3 linked regions of the Diceros bicornis minor genome follow. The protein of the gene in region 1 interacts with the protein of each later gene in a pairwise test. Links are inferred from orthologs where the notes say so. Each region holds a gene or a part of one and is shown in the gene's direction. Other genes may lie near its edges.

The links. The genes of interacting proteins can lie anywhere in the genome.
Region 2: the proteins of TPM3 (region 1) and IKBIP interact in a two-hybrid assay, tested with the Homo sapiens proteins (2 studies listed by BioGRID). The two-hybrid records come from large-scale screens. The link is inferred for Diceros bicornis minor from reciprocal best matches to the Homo sapiens genes TPM3 and IKBIP.
Region 3: the proteins of TPM3 (region 1) and KXD1 interact in binary tests that used the Homo sapiens proteins (3 or more experiments, as listed by UniProt). The two-hybrid records come from large-scale screens. The link is inferred for Diceros bicornis minor from reciprocal best matches to the Homo sapiens genes TPM3 and KXD1.

The regions. Positions count from the first base shown.
Region 1 is NC_080743.1:58,274,200-58,281,307, reverse strand, and holds the start of TPM3 (tropomyosin alpha-3 chain), read left to right. Parts: upstream 1-4,100; 5' UTR 4,101-4,115; coding exon 4,116-4,229; intron 4,230-4,845; coding exon 4,846-4,971; intron 4,972-7,108. UniProt on the Homo sapiens protein: Binds to actin filaments in muscle and non-muscle cells. Plays a central role, in association with the troponin complex, in the calcium dependent regulation of vertebrate striated muscle contraction.
Region 2 is NC_080764.1:24,197,644-24,205,187, forward strand, and holds the start of IKBIP (inhibitor of nuclear factor kappa-B kinase-interacting protein), read left to right. Parts: upstream 1-4,531; 5' UTR 4,532-4,610; intron 4,611-4,778; exon of another isoform or gene 4,779-4,855; 5' UTR 4,856-4,866; coding exon 4,867-5,042; intron 5,043-7,544. Other genes in the region: APAF1 (apoptotic protease-activating factor 1), read right to left, coding at 197-386, 1,058-1,195. UniProt on the Homo sapiens protein: Target of p53/TP53 with pro-apoptotic function.
Region 3 is NC_080759.1:6,173,702-6,181,703, forward strand, and holds the start of KXD1 (kxDL motif-containing protein 1), read left to right. Parts: upstream 1-4,989; 5' UTR 4,990-5,082; exon of another isoform or gene 5,083-5,117; intron 5,118-5,232; exon of another isoform or gene 5,233-6,477; intron 6,478-7,907; 5' UTR 7,908-7,928; coding exon 7,929-8,002.

The DNA.
Region 1 (7,108 bases):
TGTGGCCTTGAGCAAGTTACTTTAACTTTCTGGATCACAGTTCCTTATATGTAAAATGGAGATAATGCCTACCTCACTGTCTTGCTGTGGGGATTAAGTAAAGCACTTAGCAGAGAGGTGGCACATAATGCCCAATAAATGGTAACCCAAATGATGTTTTCCTGCCCTATAATAGTTTTTTCCCTTTTTATTTCCTCTCCATTACATGGCTGCCCCCCACCTCTCACCACACTCCCTCACCAACTCCTTTGATTCCTCTTTCCTCTGTTCACTTGGACCCACAGAACACCCCACCCCCTCTGCCTTGATCCCTGACCTTGGCCTCTGTCCCCAGGGCTTGTCAGTGCCAGGCTGACTCCAATATTGGCAGACTGGCCCCCTACAGAGCCCATGTCCTCTGATCCTCTCTGCCTACTCTGTCTGCTCTCATCACATCAACTGAGTAGTTCACCCTATTACACCCATCTAGCCCCTTTCCCTCTGTGGCTGGTGCCTTCTCCAGCTCCTCTGGCTCAGAAGGGCTTAGTCTTGTTTGAAATGGCTGTATAGAAGGTATTTCCAGAATAGCCAGAAAGCTTTCATCAGAGGTTATCTGATGTTTCTGCCTAGTTATGCCATCCAAAGTGTCCTTCTAAGAAAGCTGCTCCTCCCTACATCAATATTCCCAGTCTCTTCCTCTGTTCCCCTAGTGCCCTAAACACTAAAGTCCTTAAGGGCCGGCCCCGTGGCTTAGCGGTTAAGTACTCGAGCTCTGCTGCTGGTGGCCCGGGTTCAGATCCCGGGTGCGCACCGACGCACCGCTTCTCCAGCCATGCTGAGGCCGTGTCCCACATACAGCAACTAGAAGGATGTGCAGCTGTGACATACAACTATCTACTGGGGCTTTGGGGGGAAAATAAATAAATAAAATTATAAAAAAAAAAAAAAAAAACACTAAAGTCCTTTCAATTCCTGCTAGTCCCTTTCTCAGCCTCTTTCCCTCCAGCCTCTGGTTCTCCAAGGTAGTCAAGGTTCCCAGAGAAGGGAACTAGAACTTGGGGGGTAAAAGTAAGAGGGACGGTCAAGAAAGTAAAAATTACACACAAACTCCCATTGAGAGCCATAAAGGAACAAGGACATAAGACAACACCACAGGTGCCTACTTTGGGGGCTTGTATGCCCATTTGTTAGTCTTCCCCTGGAAGGCAAGAGCCAAACAACAAGAATTGACTGAGGCTTGGGACAAGCTATCGATCTAGATCAAGGGCACTGTGGAGCTGGTATATGTGTTTGTGTGTGTGTGGGGGGGGGCGGGTGGTGTCTGGACTAATGGGAACAAGGACACATGGAACAGGCCTGGGGGCTGAAGCAGAGCATTCTCCTCCCACCCCCACACTTCCACCCAAGCCCTCCACCCCACCAGTGCAGCTATAACCCGGGGTCCTTTCTGCCACAGTAGAGAGAAGCATCTGCCTGCCACAAGACATTCAACAAACCGGATTCTCTTTGGAAGAAAAATCCCTCAGAAAGGAACCAGGCTGGATCCCTGTGAGGGAAGACTCTTAGAGAAGCCAACCCAGGAGTTCTTGCCGTAAAAAGCCCCAGAAGAGGAGAGTCCTAAGGACAGCAGGCTGCTCTCTGGCACAGGGGGTTTCCTCCCTCACCCTTGATCTCCTCAAGTCTTAGTTTCAATTCTGCCAGGCAGGGGAGACCATAAGTCTTCTTCTCTGGAGCGTGCCAGTGAGACATGTCACTCTTCTCTTCTGGACATCCAAGGGTGACTTTAAGGAGGATGACTGGAGGACATGGGAAGAAGGTGAGAAGGGACAAGATGGTGGGAAGCAGCAGCCAAGCATTCTGCAAGTTTCTTGTGGCTACTTATCTGTAGTACTCAAGAGCAGGAGGGTTCCAGGATGGTGTCACTGAAAAGCCGTCAGCAGTCTTGTGGGGGTGATATGGAAAGCTTAGGAGTTCTGTTGGAAAGGTAAAGCAGGAGGACAAGCCCCCCACCCCCACCCCCAGAAAGCCTCAGGGCAGCTGGAAGGGAGTTGAGAGCAGGTGGCTAGGCTGACGAGGAGCTGCTGACACTGCTGATCCTCTGGGCGCTGGGGCCGTGACATCAGGGGGAGAAGCTCTGTGTAGGAGCTTTAAAGAAGGATAGGTGCCCGGACATGAAGCCCTGCCAGATATTCTCCCTGGTTTAAGCCAACGTGATCCAGCAAAGGCCAGGCACTGGTAGGAGAGGAGCTGAGACAGGGACGGCACGAAGGGCAGATGAGTAAAAGCCAGCTGTCTTGGGAGGCAAAGAGCAGGGTTTGGTGCCCTTCCCCAGGGAGATGGCTCTCCATCTAGCCATGCTTGGTGCCTGGTGTTTCTGCTTTGTCCTTTCTTTGCAGTGGGGGGAAGGCAGGTGACCACCACAGCTCTCCTGCCTGCTTCTGTGTGATATGTTTGATATTGGGTTGTTTAATTAGGAACCAACTAAATGTCAAACATATTCTTACAGCAGTGGGCACTTTGGCATCACACTCTTTACTACTTCAACCTCCAGGGCTCTGGGGCTCCTGTCTTTTTTACTGAACCTCTTCTTTCCAGGACCCCTTTGGAACACTAGTGGCTGCAACCTACGAGGATTTCAGTCTTAAACTGGAGGACTAGTGTGGGAGCAGGAGAGTGCTGGAATTTGAGTATCAAATCTTCCTATATCTTTCCCTTATGCTAGAAGGAATATATCTCTGATTTTCTCCTGTCCTTGTATTTTTCTCCTCCTTATTCAAACCCCCCCCCCCATTATCCACTGCTTCCTGTCCCTGGGACTTCCTTGTTCCTAGTCCCACAGTAGGGGGCTTTGGTTTCTCTGCTTTCCTTAAAGAGTCAGCTGATGGCGTATCTGCCTATCTACCTCTAGTGACTGGAAGCTCTCAACAGTGGACTTCAGTTTTGCCCTCTGCCCTGGTGGGTGTCTCAGCTACCCCATTGCTGGGGCTTAGTATTAACACTACCCATCTATCCTTGACATAATGACTAATTAGATCCATTTATATTCTTCCTTGATAGCTCTGGTCACCTTGAATAGTGCCCACCTCTCCTCTGGCATATTCTCAGATTGTATGGTGCCAGTGTACTGGGATCAACTGCCACTTGTCAGTAATGAGGCCCCAAGTAGAAGAATGAACATGGCCTAGAACTAAGCAGGGGAGAATAGAGCTGGTAATGATGATTATGATGATGAGCGTGGGGGGGTTGGGGGTAAGAAGGGAGCAGAGGGTGGGGAGACGAGAAGACAGCAACACCTTGGTCTATGTGGATATAGAAGTTCTCTTTAAAGATCACTATGGGAAACAGAGGACATGATCCTATCTAGATTACTCTGACCCTCCCCTGCTTCTCTCCCCACCCCTCTTGAAGCTCTGGGATGGCCTTCCAGATCCCAACCCTACCCTCTTACTCCATCCCTGTGGCTCTTAAGGGGGAGGAATGATGTCTCTCTGCCAATTAGAGACTCTCAAAATAGCACAGTAATTTGATCTGGAGATCTGGGGGAATTGTCAAGGATCATGAGTGACCTCCCCTCCTCACTGTCCCTCAAGCTCCCTGAATACCAGGAATCAAAAGGTAAAACTCAACCAGTGGAGTTTGATCAGCATCCAACACAGTCCGGGTGAGAGTAAGGGGGAAGCTGAAGGGCAACTAGGATCCGCTGAGTGAAAACTACCATTCTAGAGTTGCCAAAGTACCCTTCTCTATTTCAATATTCTCCCCTCCCCTCTCCCTGCTTTTTAAAAACACCCATAGAGCTGCCCAGAGTAAGTGGAAAGTTTCAGGGTCAGGGAAAGCCTCTCCCCTCCCCCACTTTCCATTGTCTAAAATCAGCCTCAGCTGTTCCCCCATTTTTTTTTTTTTGCTGGTGATGTCAGTCCATCGGAGTGGCTCACCCTGTATTCCCCCAGGAGAACAATGATGGGGTGGAGGGAGGTGGAAAGACCATATTAGGAACAAGAGGTGGAGCCATGAGCAGAGATAAAGGCTCAAGTCTGGGGAACTCCTAGACACTCTGCCAGCAGCCCCTCCTTTCTTGCCCTAGTCTCCAGTTCTCCAGTGTTCACAGGTGAGCCCACCAACGGCCACTGCTCACGATGGAGGCCATCAAGAAAAAGATGCAGATGCTGAAGTTGGACAAGGAGAATGCTCTGGATCGGGCAGAGCAAGCTGAAGCTGAGCAGAAGCAGGCAGAAGAAAGAAGTAAACAGGTAGGCCCTGGCGTTGGTCTCTCTTAGCCGCTGGTGAACACGACTGTGAGATGAAAGAGGGTTTGCACGCAAAAAGGCAGTGACCACTGGTGCCAGCTTGTTCTTTGGGTGGGAGGGACTCTGCTTCTTCCCCAGCCTCACTGGATGGGCAGAGGACATCTAGTGTATCTGCCTCAGACTGCCTGTGTGACCTTTGGAAAGTCAAGGGCCCCTTCTGAGCTACAGAGTGTCTGCTAGATTTAAGTGGGAGTGGATCATGTTTTGGAAGAATCCCTGATTTCTAGAAGAAAAGGTGGGAGCTTGATATGCAACATCTCTTTTTCCTTAAATGGAGTAACAGGCATCTACACCCTGAGATATTTACCATCCCAGGGTCTTAGATGAAAACCCAGCATGGCTTGGTCATCATCTTAGGGTCAGATATCAAAGAGTCACAGGCCAAGGACATAGCATAACTCCTGGAGCAGTTGGCTAGAAGTGACTGGGGAGAAGGTATGTCTCTCTGGGGGATGGTAACATAAAGGTTGGGCTCAGGGGTCTGTCTTAAGAGCCCAGGGTCTGAGCCTGCACTGTTGTGTACAGTATGTTTTGTGTGTGATTCTTGGGGCTCCTATAGCTGGAAGATGAGCTGGCAGCCATGCAGAAGAAGCTGAAAGGGACAGAAGATGAGCTGGACAAGTATTCTGAAGCTTTGAAGGATGCCCAGGAGAAGCTGGAGCTGGCAGAGAAGAAGGCAGCTGATGTGAGTATTGGAAAGATGGTGGGTGGGGTTAATCTACACACACAGATGTTCATGTTATTATGACTAAATTCCAAAGACACTTGGACATATACAAAGTAAATTCATAGAACACAGACATAGATGCCCCTATACATTTTTGCATATAACCACATGTTGGCATACCCTTGTAATGGCATAAATTTCTTTTTTAAAGACATGGAGAATTCTGATTTTTGTCTCATTCCCAACCCAGGAATTTAATTATCTTTCCCAGGACCTGAACAAAGGGAGGGGACTCTAAATCCAGATTGCTATCACTTATCTATCCCACCTCCTCCCCCATGCCACATTCTTAGCTTTCAAGGCTTGGCACGTAGATATGTGTATTAATAGAGAAACTCTCATCTCTCAACTCCCCAGCAAAGTCAGCTCAGATTTCACAATGGGACAAAGGAGGTCACATTGACGCTGGCCCTACATGGGTTTATTTGTCTTGGCCAATGTGGGCATCTGCCCTTATGCCACAGAGATGTCATAGTAAGCACTGCTCATAGGGCAGCAGAGAGGATCTTAGAATGATAGACTATAACAGAAATAAGAAGAAATCTTAGAGGGTAAAGGTATCACCACCAGACCTTACCCTGTGACCTTGACGAAATTACTCAGCTTCTCTAGGGCTGAATTTTCCCATTTGAAAATGAAATTCTCGGGGCCGGCCTGGTGGCACAGCGGTTAAGTTCGCGCGGCCTGGGGTTCGCAGGTTTGGATCCTGGGCATGCACTGACGTACCGCTTGTCAAGCCATGCTGTCGCAGCGTCCCATATAAAGTAGAGGAAGATGGTCATGGATGTTAGCTTAGGGCCAATCTTCCTCAGCAACAAGAGAAGGATTGGCATCGGATGTTAGCTCAGGGCTGGTCTTCCTCACCAAAAAAAAATGAAATTCTCTTTTCTTCTTCAAGCTATCCAATAATCACCTACTTTCCTTCATCTTCAACCTTGAAGTTTATCACAAAGATGAATGAGAGACCACATAGGAAAGACTTTTGGAAGAAAAGTAACATAGGAATCTTAATAGCAACAAAAGAATGTCCTGGTATTGATGGAAATAGATTCAGTTCTCAGCACTGAGTTAATAGGAAAAGTGGAGCATGTATTTTTTAAAATAGCATTTGGTTTTGGAAAATAGCTAGAGAGACAACGTGGGTCGTTCACAAATGTTTTTGGATTCTCACATTTGGCCTCTTTGCTGTTAGGTTTCTGATCTTCTTTTTGGCTTTCCCCCATTATCTGTGGCCCCAGGAAGTGGTGAGGGTTGTTGAGTATATCATGCCAGAGGTCAGAGACATAAAGTGGATCATACACATTATATATATTCATAGTTTCCAAAAGTTTAGGCCACTGCAAACTACTAATTCTTCCTTCTTGAAAAACTGCAAAAAACACAGGTTACCCCCAGGGCTTTGGGCAAGTGCCTGATGGCCTGCTGGAGTTGCCTAACTTAGATTCCAGGTATAGGCGGATAGAGCTCTCTGGTTCCAATAAACAGGCATCGAGATAGAAGTTTTCACAAACTGGAACAATGTCATGTTAATAACAGTATTATGAGATGTTGGGTAACAACTCTCTGGGAAAGTCCTTAGGTTGAAACAGTAGTTATGTGGACTTCAGGAGGTGTTTGCAGGAGCAACGAAAAGAACTAACCAGTCTAACCTGAGATCTTGGGAGACAAAGAATGACATAGAGGCTCCAGACAATATATCAATATCATTGGGAAGATAAAGGAACTTCCTGGGGATGATTCTGTCTGTCCTAAGCTGTTTTACACACATACACACACACACACACACACACGCAGCGTCATCCTCCACCTAGACAGAGTCTATTCAGTATATTCATTTGAAAGAAGCTTCTCATATTTATATAGGAATCCACAAAAACCATTTAAATATGTAATGTGTGGGTAAAAAAATGCACTCAACTTCTCTCCCCCTTATTAGCTTTCCCAACAAGTCAATAAGTACCCTCAGAGATATGTAGGAGAACAAGAAATAGGAGAGGAAGGTTGTGGGCAGGAGGCAAAAATCTGTTAGGCCTGGTTAAGGTGGAAGCAGGAAGAAAGGTTTTCTCAAAGCTTAGTAGTCAGCAAACTATCACCT
Region 2 (7,544 bases), on another chromosome or scaffold:
AGAGTTCACTGCACAAGAAGAAAATGTGGGAGTAAACAGAGATGCAAATAAAAATATTTAAATTGGAAAACATAACTATAATTTTTTCACATGCATTTTTCAATGAACTAATCAGTCTCTTCAGCAGACTCCATCTACAATAAGACAACGCTGCGGCAAGGTAGCCACTGTGATAGAAGGTACCATGGGTACAAACCATATGAAGTTATTCCACCAACTGAATCTTTGCCGTTGGAAGAAGAGATAACAGGAATGCCACCATGGAGACGGGCAGCAAGATCTTTATACCCTTCATGTAGTAGAGCCTTGTAGAATGATATGTAGGAATAATTATCTTTTTTAAGTATCAGTTTAATTAACATAGCTGCTTTTTGTTGTCGAGTGGGCTGAAAAAAATAAATAAATAAAAAGCAGTTTAGTATACTACAAAGAATATGTTTGCAACATAAATTAGTGGAGACCAGCACAAGTTCTGAAATAAATTCTAAAAATTTTTAAGAAAGCACAGAGGGGCCAACCCAGTGGTGTAGTGGTTAAGTTCACATGCTCCACTTCGGCGGCCCAGGGTTCACAGGTTCGGATCCTGGGTGCGGACCTACACACCACTCATCAAGTCATGTTGTGGCAGCATCCCACATACAAAGTAGAGGAAGACTGGCATAGATGTTAGCTCAGCGACAATCTTCCTTAAGCAAAAAGAGGAAGATTAGAGGCCAGCCCAGTGGCGTAGTGGTTGAGTTTGTGCGTTCCGCTTCGGCAGCCTGGGATGCACCAGTTCGGATCTTGGGCATGGACCTGCTCACCACCCATCAAGCCATGCTGAGGCACCATCTCACATAGAAGAGCTACAACTCTACAAGCATGACATATAACTACATACTGGGGCTTTGGGGAGAAAAAGGAAAAAGAGGAAGATTGGCAACAGATGTTAGCTCAGGACCAATCTTCCTCAAAAAAAAAAAAAACAAGTAAAATGAATGTGCAAATTTGCACAATTTAACTTAAAAAAATTAAATTAAAAAAAAAAGAAAACATAGACTGCCTCAGAGGGCTTTACCTCATTTTTCACTTTTTCCTCCTCCGATACTGTTAAAACTCCATCACTAATCATGTGATCCATGATGTAGGAGGTTTTAATGTCCTTTTCCAGGGCTTCTCTATGTTGAAGCAAACAATTTCGAGCTTTTGCATCCATCCTCCTTTAAATTTTTCTCTCTCTGAGCTGTCAACCATGAGCTACAGGCAAAACATCAAAATATTTGTCAGGACAATAAAGATATGAAAAGACGTGTAACCTCACTGATAATCAAGAAATGTAGAGAAAATAAGATTTTTTTTTTGCAAAGATTTTTTTTAAATGGACAAAACAAAATGCTTTCAAAGATGTGAGAAAATAGGTATTTTTAGGCACTACTTGAGGAGAGTACTAAATGGATGCAACTTTTCTGGAAGGCCATATGATAAAATACAGAAGTGTTTAAAGTAAGCATTCTCTTTAACCCAGAAACCCCACTTCTAGGAATTTATCTCAAGGAGACATTCACATTTGTATGCAAAAATATGCACAAGAAGAGTTAACAGAGTGTGTTTAGGTGAGAAAAAAAGATGAAAACAACCTAAATGGCCATCATTCTAAGTATGGATTTAAAAAATTAGAGTATGTACATAAAATGGAATATTACACAGCCATTTAAAATGATAAGACACATCTCCATGTACTGACATGGAAAGACGCTATGAGACACTGCTGACAAAAAATTAGAAATAAGATCCCATATATAGCACAAAATATGTGTTGGTATCATATAAAACATAGGGAGATGTCTAGAAGTTTGTTCAAAAAAGGTTTGGGTTACTTCCAAGAGGCAAGATTTGGGTTTTTTTTCCCTCTTTCTTTTTTGTACTTTTCTACATTGTCTTAATTTTTTTCAATACACATCATCATTTTTACAATAAAAAAACTTCTTTTAAGTTAAGATTTTTAAACGGGGCCGGCTCCGTGGCTTAGCGGTTAAGTGAACGCGCTCTGATGCTGGCGGCCCGGGTTCGGATCCCGGGCACGCCCCCAGGCACCGCTCCGAACCGGGCACGCCCCCAGGCACCACTTCTCCGTCCAACCCGAGGCCGAGTCCCACGTACAACAACTAGAAGGATGTGAACCTATGACATACAACTATCTACTGGGGCTTTGGGGGGGAAAAAATGAATAAATAAAATCTTAAAAAAAAAAAAAGATTTTTAAACGGCGGCCATACTGAAGTCCTAATGCTTAGAAACTTCTTGTTTTCTTTATCCAATATAAGACTAAATAGAGCATTGTTGGTATTGAGCATTAGTTCTCGCTCAAGGTGGGTGTCAGTGCTAGGTCTTCAGTGGTAAACACATTTCTCACATGCTCACTCCGCTAATGTTTCAGCTGAGCTGCTAAGTATGACAAAGCAACAGAAAATACCCTCTGATGTCATTTCTTGAACAAAGAGGACACAAAGAAAGAACAATATTCTTTATAGTATAATACGCTAAGCTTCTACCAACTTTATCTCAAAAATATAGTGCAAATTTTTCCATTGGTATAAAACGTAGATCAGAATGTTTGCAAGTTTTAGAAATATTAACAGAACTCTATCCAATGTATTATAGTGAGTGTCTAAATGTGTTTATTAATTTATTCATTCAGGGACCAGCCCGGTGGCATAGTGGTTAAGTTCAAACCCCCCGCTTTGGCAGCCCGGGGTTCGCAGGTTAGGATCCCGGGCGCGCACCAACGCACCACTTGTCAAGCCATGCTGTGGCGGCGTCCCATATAAAGTAGAGGAAGATGGGCACGGATGTTAGCCCAGGCCCATCTTCCTCAGCAAAAAGAGGAGGATTCGCATCAGATGTTAGCTCAGGGCTAACCTTCCTCACACACAAAAAAAATTTATTCATTCAATAAACATTTGAGCCCCTCCTACATGCCAGGCCCTGAGTCTATAGAGAAGATTAAATCATATCCCTGAAGGAATTCACAATCTAGTGGGAGAGAAATATAAAGAGATAATCAGAATGTGATGTCCTAAGTGAAAAAATAGAGATAACCACAAGTAATTTTAGATTGCACAGAAGAGGAGCAATAATCATTAAGCTTCAATGATAACTATATATTTTTTAAGTGCCACCAAGGCACTTGAAAACATAGGGAAGTAGAGCATTTGCCTATGCTTATCAAGGTTCACAAAACGCCCAGTACTGGCATGATACTGATTGATAAAAGAAAAATTTATGATTAGAATCAAAGCTATCGTACTTTTTAAATGTTAATAACGTTTTTATGCTCTCAATTTAAACATAAAACATCCCTTAATTTTTAATAACACTCGATTTGACAAAACAAAAATGAATTTTGTAGTCTATGTCCAATAGCTAAGAAAATAGACATTTTGACAATCTGAAACTAATTTCCAACTTGACCTAGCCCTATTAAAAATACGTAAATTTTCAGCACGTTTTTAAACTCTGCACAAATATTCTGAACAAATTCTCAGTGTCCCACCTTTCGCAAGCACACCAAAATGGGAAGTCAAAACTCTTCATTGTAAAATGGAAAGGAAGGGCAATTTCATCCGGGAAAACCGTAATAGTTTAGACTACTTCCTCCTTAGATAATTTCTCTTCCTGGTACAGGAGTAGGATGGTTATCAATTACACTTTGTCCCAGAATTGAGTCCCTGAAATCGGCTATTGAACCTCTGAAGCAACCAGCTCGGGGAGAAAAGCAAGGCGCAAACTTACCCAAACCTCCGCACCAGGGTCTTACTGGCAAGAGCAGCCCTTCGGAGACAGACTGAGAAACCAAGGTTGGGGAGGAAAAGGCATCGGGCCTTCCGAAAGAGAATACAGGGCTCGGGGCGCAGCCCCGGGACAAATCCGGGCCTCACAGGGGCTGCACCCGGGCCTCCGCCGTCCCGGGCGCCTGAAGACCCCCGGAGACCTCCGGCCGGTGGAGGTAGGCGTCACCTCCCTGGGCTGACCACACACTCCCGGCGCGCCGAGATGCGGCCCGGCCCGAGGGCTGCCTTCTCGGCGGACCCCACCCCCGACACAAAGAGAGGAGGGCCACTCGGCTTGTCGCTCCTTCACTCCGGCCGCAGCTGCACCCCGGCCAGTCGGGACGCTGCCGCGGCGACTTCCAAGTCCTCGCGGTGTGCTGTCGGCCCAGACTTCCTCACCGCCTGCTCCCTCCCTCCTTCGGCCCAGGAATAGAGCACCCGCGTCCACTTAATACCGTCGCCTCTCCGTCTCAGAACCGCGGAGCAGTCAAACCCCGCCGGGCCCGCCCAGCCCGGACAGCGCGCGCCCGCGCATGCAAATAAATACACGCCGAGCCACTCCGGGCGGCCGCCGCCGCGCGCGCACCCGCTCCGGCTTGTGCCCGCGCGCGCACAGGGAGCGCCCTCCGCCCCACCCCACAGCCGGGGGCGTGGCTAAGCCACAAGGGCGCGCGGCGGTCTGAGGGAGGGAGGGCCTCGGCGGCGGCGCGCTCGACGTGGCGCGGGCCCGCCCCGCCCCGCCCCCTCGCGTCCCGGCGGCCCGCACGCGCCCGGGAGCTACGATTTCCTCAGGTTTGCTAGGTGAGCGCAGAGAAAGCGGGGGGTGGGGTCTGCGCCTGCCTCAGCTGGAGGAACTGGAAGGCGGGTGGCTGGGGTGCGCTGTGAAGCAGTGAAGATGGCCGGGAGAGGGAGGGCACTGGCACTGGTTTCCGGGCGGCGCCAAGTCCGAGAGGGGGCGCGGTCACCGCCGAGGCTTCCCTCGGAGCTCAGGCGGCCACGTCCCGCTCCCCCAGGGTGAAGAGGCCGCCCGGGTTTGTCGTCCTCAGGACCTCCAGACATGTCCGAGGTGAAGAGCCGGAAGAAGTCGGGACCCAAGGGAGCCCCCGCGGAGCCCGGGAAGCGGAGCGAGGGCGGGAGGAGCCCCGAGGCCCGAGGTGGTGGAGGCGGGGGCTGGGCGGACCCCCGGACCGGCCTGAGCCTGCTGTCGCTGGGGACGTGCCTGGCCCTGGCCTGGTAAGTGTCCGGCCTCCGGTGGTCGCCCGCCCTTCGGGGTCCAGTCCCTGTCGTGGCCCCACCCGACTCGGCATCCCGTAACCTTCAACCCCGAGACTTGTGACTTTGGTTCATCTGCCGCCACCCCAGAGAAGGGACAGCCAGCCCAACTTTTTTTTTTTTTCCGTTATCTCATTTCTTGTAACTCATTTTTCCCTTGTACTAGTATCGTGCCGCGATCGCTCAACTGGAATTGAGGCTAAGGTTTGGGGAGGAGTCAGCCATTAAGAGATGCGGATTCGGCCAAACTTTATTAAGCGCCAACTACACGTCGGGAGCTTTCGCGTTTTTATAACCCGTTACTTCCTGTCCGCTGTGCATCTGTCCGGGACAGATTTGCCCCACCCCACCCCGTAAATGCCTAATGGAAACGTTTGCAACCTTCAAAGAATTCATTATGATTTCAGAGCAACAAACGTTTGTGATAATATCAAAGTTGGGAGGATCAGTGTGCATGCGTTATGAATTTAAAGTCTCTTCCTAAATTACAGACTGAATTTTAGTACTGTAACGCTACAAAAGTATATAGCACTTGGGTTCACCTAAAACTAAACATTTATAGTTTTTAAACCAAGCAAATAGCGATATTTTGGGGTCATAGGACAAATGAATATTAGAAATAACCTTAAAACCAACTTATTCATTTTGTTTTCCCCAATCGTTTTCTTTAGGAATAACCTATTTCATTTTAATAACAAGACTGATGCTTTAAATTAGAATTCTCCATTTTTTTTTTTACCTGTTTTTAAAGTATTTAGAAGATAGTTATTTGTCTTCAAGAGTAATGGTATTCCAGAAGGAACCCTGGACATCTTCTAGTCTGCAACATTTTTGATGCTAGTAAATTCTTTTTTTTTTTTTTTTTATTTTTCCCCCAAAGCCCCAGTAGATAGTTGTATGTCATAGCTGCACATCCTTCTAGTTGCTGTATGTGGGACGCGGCCTCAGCATGGCCGGAGAAGCAGTGCGTTGGTGAGCACCCGGATCTGAACCCAGGCCACCGGCAGCGGAGCTCGGGCACTTAACCACTAAGGCACGGGCTGGCCCAGATGTTAGTAAATTCTGAATTATACTTTACTGCTGACTTATCCTGAGTCGAAGTTAATAAAAGATTTGCCACAATGAACTGAAAAGTTGATTTAAATATCCTCTTCAAAAAAGATAAATTGTTTATTTTAGTAATATGGTATTTTTGTTTATGGGATGTTTTTATTTTGATCTTAAAAAAATAAATGCACTGGATTTACTGTTTTAAAAATAAACTGCTCTGGGCCAGCCCCGTGGCTTAGCCGTTAAGTGCGCGTGCTCCGCTACTGGTCGCCCGGGTTTGGTCCCGGGCGCGCACCGAGGCACCGCTTCTCTGGCCATGCTGAGGCCACGTCCCACATACAGCAACTAGAAGGACGTGCAGCTATGACATACAACTATCTACTGGGGCTTTGGGGGAAGAAAAAAGGAGGAGGATTGGCAATAGATGTTAGCTCAGAGCCGGTCTTCCTCAGCAAAAAGAGGAGAATTAGCATGGATGTTAGCTCAGGGCTGATCTTCCTCACAAAAATAAAAATAAACTGCTCTTATGTCTTAAAATGCATGACCTTCTTTAGGTAAATAAAAAACCCATTTTGTATTGAAAAAGTTTCCCGTAATAGAACTTAGTAGGCTAAAAGACATATGTTGCTTCTCTCTGGAGCCTAATACAACTGGTTTTAGTTACTAAATTTACTAATTCTAATTAATTATCCAAAGATACATATTCATGTGAGGTAAATTACATCACAAAATGTTCAGCTTTTCAATGATTTAGTTACTGCCATGGGAAAACACACTAATAGGAATCTATAAAGGAAAAAAACTTGAAAAGTAGAGCTTCAACTCAGGAATTTACTGTTAGTGCCTACAATAAAGACACAAACAAGTTACATTCATTAAGAAGATTTTATTTGAACTGTCTCCAAAATAATAAAACAATATTTAGTCAAAGATTATTTTTATGGGGCTGGCCCCGTGGCTTAGTGGTTAAGTGCGCAGGCTCCGCTGCTGGCGGCCCCGGTTCTGATCCTGGGCGCCCACTGCTTCTCCCACCATGCTAAGGCCGCGTCCCACATACAGCAACTAGAAGGATGTGTAGCTATGACATATAACTATCTACTGGGGCTTTGGGGGGAAAAAATAAATAAATAAAATCTTTAAAAAAAAAAAAAAGATTATTTCTAAAATGGACAGATTGTATGATTGTTATTAAAATAGTTGCCTGTTAATTGTTCTTGTGAAATCTTTTGCCGTAAGAGTCGAAGTGTAAATACTTTGGTTGCTGTTTATAGCAAATATTTACTCATGGTAAATTTGGGAATAAAAAATTATTCTGGTAAGACATTTGCAAGCATTTTCCAAATAAAAACCAAATACTTGGCATCTGAAAATATTTAAAAGCACACTAAAATTGTAACAAAGCCATTGAGGTCT
Region 3 (8,002 bases), on another chromosome or scaffold:
CCATGCTTCCTGCCTTAGAGTGGACTTTGTCTGGTGTTAAGGTCGCACACCTGCTTTCCTTTGGTTCCTGTTTTTTTTGTGTGTGAGGAGATCAGCCCTGTGCTAACATCTGCCAATCCTCCTGTTTTTTTTTTTTTTTTTTTTTTTTGCTGAGGAAGACTGGCCCTGGACTAACATCTGTGCCCATTTTCCTCCACTTTATATGGGACACCGCCACAGCATGGCTTGCCAAGCAGTGCATCAGTGCGCGCCCGGGATCCGAACCGGCGAACCCCGGGCTGCTGCAGCGGAGCGCACGCACTTAACGGCTTGCGCCACCGGGCTGGCCCCTGGTTCCTGTTTTAAATGCTCCACCCTTTATCTTCCACCTTTCTGTATCCTCATGTTGTACATGTGTCTCCTATAAGCAGCATCGAGTTGAGTTTTGCTCTTTGGTCTAGTCTGCCCATCTTTGTCTTTTTTCTTTTTAAACGAAGGAGGAAATTTTTTTTTTTTTTTTAGGAACATTGGCCCTGAGCTAACATATGTTGCCAATCTTCCTCCGTTTTTCCTTTTGTCTCCCCAAAGCCCCAGTAGATAGTTGTAGTTGTACATCCTTCTAGTTGCTCCATGTGGGACGCCGCCTCAGCATGGCTTGATGAGCAGTGTGCAGGTCCGCGCCCAGGATCTGAACCTGCAAACCCTGGGTCACCAAAGTGGGGCACGCAAACTTAAACGCTACGCCACCGGGCCAGACCCCCATCTTTGTCTTTTAATTGGTGCATTTGGTGTATTTTACATTTAATGTAATTATGGACCTATTTGGACTTAAAATATGCCATCTTGTGTGTTTTTTTCTCTGTCCTACCTGCTCTATGCTCTTCTCTCTGCTTTCTTGCTTTCTTTAGGACTGGGTGCATGTGTTTTGGTAAGGTTATCCTTATATTGCAGATGGGGAAACTGAGGCACAGAGAAGGTAATTACCTTGTTCAAGGTCACAGTGATGAAGGGCAGTATGGGTTAGGTATCTTCCATTACCGAGCTTTTATTCCAGCCAAGGAGCTGGATATTGCACAAAGAATGATGCAGTTAAGTATCTAATTTGCAGCTGTGATGAGTGTTATGTAGGAAAAAGAAGTGGCAAAAAAATTGAAAAGAAAGGCTTCCAGTCCCCAGACTTAGGCCTTCCCCAGACCAGTGGCCCCATCACTGAGCTGACTGAGTGTTCCCATCACTTCCAACCCTCTCCCTTGAACACACAAAGGAGGGAAATATTTTCTTGTCTCCACTCCACTGTGCACAAAACATCTGAGGCCAGCCAAGTCCCTTTTGGCCCGATGTGCAACCCCCACCCCTTCCAGGACCCTTGTAAATGTTTCCTGGCCTCCAACAGAGCCCAAGGGACCCATCAAAAAGCTTGATTTCTCCAGCTTGGGCCTCTTCTGCTGCAGCCTGCAGACAGAGCTGTGGTTCCACTTTTCCCAGCAGCCTCCGCCCCGGCTCCTCGCTCAGCAGTGGCTGCCGCCTGGCTTACTGAGCTCCACAATTTTTACAAAGATAGAGTCCATGATATGTGCTTTCCCACCATCCTGTCTTTGCTCCTGTGATTCCCTCAGTCCTGAATGGTTGTCAGCACCTAGAAAACTCCTAATCCTACCTCAAAACCCCATCCAGGGGCCAGCCTGGTGACGCAAGCAGTTAAGTGCATGTGCTCCGCTGTGGCAGCCCCGGGTTCACCGGTTCGGATCCCGGGCGCACACCAACACACTGCTTGTTAAGCCATGCTGTGGCGGCGTCCCATGTAAAGTAGAGGAAGACGGGCACGGATGTTAGTCCAAAGCCAGTCTTCCTCAGCAAAACAAAGGAGGATTGGCATCGGATGTTAGCTCAGGGCTGGTCTTCTTCACACACACACAAAAAAACCATCCAGATGTACCTGATTCCTTGTCCCCAAAACGAGTCCTCATACCCCATTCTTCAGGTTCCTTCAGTCTTGAGTCTCTCCTCCCTCTAGCCCAGCACTGTTCCCCTAGGGATGGGAGTGTCTGTGTCAGACTCTGTCTCCATCCTCCAGGGCTAGGCATGAATTGAGTACTCTCTGGATGCCCAGAATATGGGCCACTCCTAGAAAGGGTGGCTAGAGAGTTTACTGAACAATTTTTAAAACTGTTTGTTGAACTGACTATATAAGAATCCTGGTCTTCATTAACTTTTCAATGAATGAAGGCAGCAGAGTGTGGCAGTAATAATACAGTCTACCCTCGGTTTACCGAGGGCTTACAGTGGGCCAAGACTTGTTGTAAGGAATTAACCTGCATGATTTCATAAGGTTAAACCACTTGCCCAAGGCCACCCAGCTAGGATGTGACAGAACTGGAATCAGAACTCACATATGTCCAATTCCAGGACTCTTAAAGAGTCTTCCATGTGCCTAAGAGCATGTGTGCATCTCCCAAGCTCTCAATATCTCCCAAGCTCTCAACGACCTTAAAAGGCAGATGCTGTGATCACCCAGTTAACAAACTGAGACCCAGAAAAATTAGACATACAATATATAACATATACACATCATAAGACCTCAACAACTGGGGCCGGCCCGGTGGCGCAAGCGGTTAAGTGCACGCGTTCCGCTGCGGCGGCCCAGGGTTCGCCGGTTTGGATCCCAGGCACGCACCAACGCACTGCTTGTTAAGCCATGCTGTGGCGGCGTCCCATATACAGTAGAAGAAGATGGGCATGGATGTTAGCCCAGGGCCAGTCTTCCTCAGCAAAAAAGAAGAGGATTGGCAGATGTTAGCTCAGGGCTGATCTCCTCACACAAAAATAAATAAATAAATAAAAAGACCTCAATAACTAATGGTAATTAATTAACATTTATTGAGCAATTACTATTTGCCCCATTTTGTTCTTGCATTTAACTTGGATTACTTCACTTAAAAATGCATCCTCATATCAGTATGAACTCACAGTTTTCAGTTTATATACAAGGAGACAGATATAGAAGTAAATATAAATGTGTGTGCATGGGTTAGCAGGCATACATGTATTTGCTAACTCTGACTGCTGAGAGGGTCTCTAAGCAATGATAGCCCAGTGGCAGTGAGCATGGCCAGCACCCAGATCTTGGTTTCTTTTATTTATTTATTTATTTTAAAGATTTTATTTATTTATTTTCCCCCCAAAGCCCCAGTAGATAGTTGTATGTCATAGTTGCACAGCCTTCTAGTTGCTGTATGTGGGACGCGGCCCCAGCATGGCCGGAGAAGCGGTGCGTCTGTGCGCGCCCGGGATCCGAACCCGGGCCGCCAGCAGCGGAGCGCGTGCACTTAACCGCTAAGCCACGGGGCTGGCCCGAGATCTTGGTTTCTAAATCCTATTCTCCAAGAAAAGGTACCAGGCTCTTTGGAGAAATGGCTGACTCCAGAGATATTCCAAAGCAAGCATGGAACATCTTGTGGTGCCAAAAGTAAGGAAGTGCTCAGAGAAAGGTGCAGACATATTAAAATGACATAGGGGCTAACTTAAAGAGGCAGAAAAATAAATAATATAGAAATTGGGCCAGCCCTGGTGGCCTAGTGGTGAAGTTCGGCAGGCTCTGCTTCAGTGGCCCAAGTTCAGTTCCTGGGTGTGGACCTACATCACTCGTCTGTCAGTGGCCGTGCTGTGGCAGTGGCTCACATACAAAAAGAGGAAGATTGGCAGTGGATGTTACCAGCAAAAAAAAAAAAAAAAAGGAAAAAAGAAAAGAAGTTAACTATAATCCACAGAATAAAATAAATATTCATAAGTTCATAGTGATACAAATACTTGAATAAATCCATAATTGGAGAATGGACAGCTCTTGTTTACAGTAGAATTCCAATTAATAATTAAATTAATAAACAGAAAATCACCAGAAAAAAATAAATTAAAAAAAAAATTAAAAAAGGGCCGGCCCCGTGGCTTAGCGGTTGGGTGCACGTGCTCCGCTGCTGGCAGCCCGGGGTTTGGATCCCAGGCGCGCACCGACGGACCGCTTCTCTGGCCATGCTGAGGCCGCGTCCCACATACAGCAACTAGAAGGATGTGCAGCAGTGACATACAACTATCTACTGGGGCTTTGGGGGGAAAAAATAAATTAAAAAAAAATTATAAAAAAAAAATCACCATTATGCAAACACGATAGTAATCATTGTTGCTGGCAAGAGCCACAGATGGATGCTAAAACTAGTGGGTGAAAAATATGTTTAAAAAAACCCCCAAAACTAGGGTATTTGTATGGGCTCTTAAGTATCTCTCCACAAGATACCTATTAATTATAAAAGGGAAAATAGTAACTGGACAGTTGAGAAACTGGCAGACACTGCCTTAAGCAAGTAATCAAAGTCAACATCACCAATAACGAGACACATCAACATCCCGTGCTTCCTGATACCATGCATGGAGGACACAACATCGCTTCTGTGGGATTCCTGCCCAAACTGCTCAACTTCAGTCTAATCATGAGGAAACACTGGATAAACCCATATTGATGAGTATTCTACAAAACCAGTACTCTTCAAAAGCATTAAGGTCATGAAAATTTAGGAAAGACTGAGGAACTGTCACAGAGTGGAAGAGACTACGGAGACACGACTAAATGCAACGTGGGATCCTGGATGGGATCCTGGACTAGAAAAAGGTCACCAAAAGCGACGCAGGGATTTTTGAACCCAGATGAATCTGATTCCCAGCCTGGAAAGCAAGACACCTGGGTCTGGGTCGACCGCAGGCCACTGAAGCATTATATGACCTTGCGGAAGCGCCTGCCGCTCTCGGACCTCAGTTTGACCATGTATAAAACAGGACGTCTCCCAGCCTCCACCACCCACTTCCGGACTGCCAGGGAGCCCGGGCTTAGGAAACTACGCAGGCGCGAGAGGGACTGCTCGATTGGCTATTTGTTGTGGCGCACACGGGAACAGGAGTTGCGTCTAAGCCCCACCCCTTCCTGCCGCGCCTCCACGCACGCCAGTCGGCCCCGGGTACGTCTCCGCCACCCGCGCTCGCACGCATGGTGCGTGGTGACGTCGCGGAGGCTCGGGCGCCATCCCGGAAGCGCGAGCAAGGCCGCCAGATGTGCAGGTGCCGCTGCCACCGACGCTGGTGCCGAGTTCGGGGTGGGGCTGGGGCCGCCGAGGCCGCTGGGGAGCCGGGCCGGGCCGGGTCGGGTGTAGTCCCCGGGCTGTTGTGGGGTGGGGCGCGCCGCTGGCCACATCTGGGCACCCCTCCTGCGCACAGGTCTCGGTTTCCCTGTCTGCGCAGTGGACGCGCGGGCGGAGCCGCGGGCCGGATCCGGGGCACGGGAGTTTGGGCCGCTTGTGTTCAGGCTGTGCTGTGTTGTTACCCGGAACCGGGCGTTGGTCTGCTTGGGCCTGTTTCCCCACTTTGCAGGGGCGGGGCGTGAGGGGATATGCGAGCCCCTCCGCGCTCGTTTTGCTGAGCTTGTGCCACCAAGTTAAATTCTGTTAAGGACTTGGGTGGAATGGCGGCGCCTCTCCGCCTTGCCATGTGACCTTGGGCAGCTGAGTCCACCTCTGTGAGCCTTAGCTGCCTTCGGAGATGATAGTGTCTGCCTCATAGGGAGGGTTGGGGATTAAATGAAGTGCTATTCAAGTGTTTGCTCATATTCTTGGAAGCACCGGGGAAGCCCTTGTTAAAATGTTGATTCCTGGGGCTGGCCCGGTGGCGCAGGCGGTTGGGTGCGCGCGGTTCGGATCCCGGGCGAGCACCAACGCAGGGCTTGTCAAGCCATGCTGTGCTGGCGTCCCATATAAAGTGGAGGAAGATGAGCTGGGATGTTAGCTCAGGGCCAGTCTGCCTCAGCCAAAAGAGGAGGATTGGCAGATGTTAGCTCAGGGCTGATCTTCCTCAAAAATAAAGCTGATTCCTGAGCCCCGCCCTAGGACTTCTTCCCACTCCCTTTGAAGAAACAGCCCAGATCCTTATCACAATTGGCTTCAGTCCCCACAGATAGCGCTGTGAAGTGCTGATTCTTTGTTATTCCCATTTTCTGGGTGAGAAAACCGATTCAGGGAGGTGAGGTGATTCTTCCAAGGTCACACAGCCTCCCTGTCTGTGTGTTTCCCTCATAAAGGTATTTGGAGCAGGAGCCAGAGCCCTTGCTGGGTCATTTCCACCCTGTGTGTGGGCCAGACTAGCTGTTAGTCAGGGAAGGCTTCCTGAGGGAGACAGCTAGGGTAGTGGGGAGTGTGCCCTGAATCCTTCAGCCCTCATATCTGGCAGCTGGAGATGAGAAAGAGCTGTACTTTGCAGCAGAATGGTTTCCCACTGGTCCAGAACCCTGAACCTGTCAGGCTCTGGCTGTGGGTCCTGCCACATGACTGCCCTTTGAGCGCAAGTGTCCTGTTTATACATGATCATGCTTCTTCAAAAATCGGAGACTGTGAGTGTCCAGACCTGGCACATAGTGGGAGCTCAATAAACATGGCGATAATTGGATGAGGAGAGTTTCACCAGGTATGGCAGCTTATTTCTAGAAGGCATGTAGGGGCTGCAAATCGCTAGCCAGATTCAGGGCTCAAATAGATAACACTTGACTACATGGTGTTTGGGGGGGAAAAAATATTGGTTGCTGACATTTGTAAATGAGGCGATTTCACAGGAAAAAAAACCCGTATTTCTGTTTTTTGCCTGGAAAAAATCAGAAGTCTGGCAGGAATCAGCTGCTTAGAGCAGCAGCTGTCCCGTCATGGGTGGATAATGAACACCTGTTCAGATTCACACCTCTGTGGATCCTGCAGAGCATGGGCATGTGAATTGTGACTCAGGTTCTCTGGCTGTGTGACAGTGGCCCCGTTCCTCAGTCCCTGAGCCTCAGTGTTCTCATATATAAACAAGGATGATAACAGTTCCTGGTGTATGACGTTAGTGCCTTGTAAAGAGGAGGGTGGATCAAGTGAGCTCTGAAAGACCTTGCTAATCCTGTGTGTGAATTCTCACCAGTCACAAGTGGGCCTTTCTGTCAGCCATTAAATGTGTGGACGCCAGAATCAAACTATGTCAGGATTCTGGGTTTCTCCTGAACCCTCCCCCCAACCAGGAGGGTCAGTGCTGAAGCTGTGGCCCCTCCTGCCCTGGCATGGTCAAGGAAGCCCCCACCCACCAGAATGGTCACCTGGGTGCCGGGGACCTGGGGCCCGCAGCCTGGCTCTGAGTGCCTGAAATTCTTGGCTTTAATTTGCTAATAAAAGTCTAGCATCAGGGCTGAGTTTGAAAGGTTCTGTCAGCCTCCGCCAAAGTTCTGGCCATCCCTTGCTATGAGCCACGTTCTGGAGCAGAGCAGCAAGGGAGAGAGACAAGTCTCTGCTCTCTTGGAGCTGACACTGCTGTGGGGATGACAGGCAAACAGATCAACTGACAACTGAGATAATTTCAGGAAGAGGTGTGGCAGTGAAGCAGTTAAAACAAGGCAGAGTGATAAGAGTGACCAGAGTTGGGGTATCATCAAAGACCTCGGGGTATCATCAAAGACCTCGGGAGAGAAGACATTGGAGGTGCTGATGATTTGAGGGGGCAGCCATGCATGTGCTACCGGTGGGGACAGCAGGTGCAAAGGCCCTGTGGTGGGAGTGGGCCAAGGCAGGGGGATGTGGGAGGTGGCTGGCAGATCTATGCAGGTGGAAATTTCCCCTGGCCTCGGGCACATGGAGAGTGGGAGCCATGGAGGTGGGAGGGACTAAGGGGTTCTCATGTGCTGGGGTGCAAGTTATAAGTATGGTCTCCTGTAGTTCTCAGAACACCCCCGAATTCCCAGGTGACAAAGCTGAGGCTCAGGTGGCGTGACCGACTCATGTTCAAACAGCCTTTGCGGTTCCCAGCCCCTCCTCTCTGTCCCAACTCCTGGTGCCTGGTGCAGACTGAAGACTCTTTCTTCTTGCCTGTTTCAGGCAGCGGAGGAGGAGGAAGAGATGGACACCCCGGACTCGGCCTCAAGGGTCTTCTGCAGCCGCATCCTGAGCATGGTGAACGTGGACGATGTCAA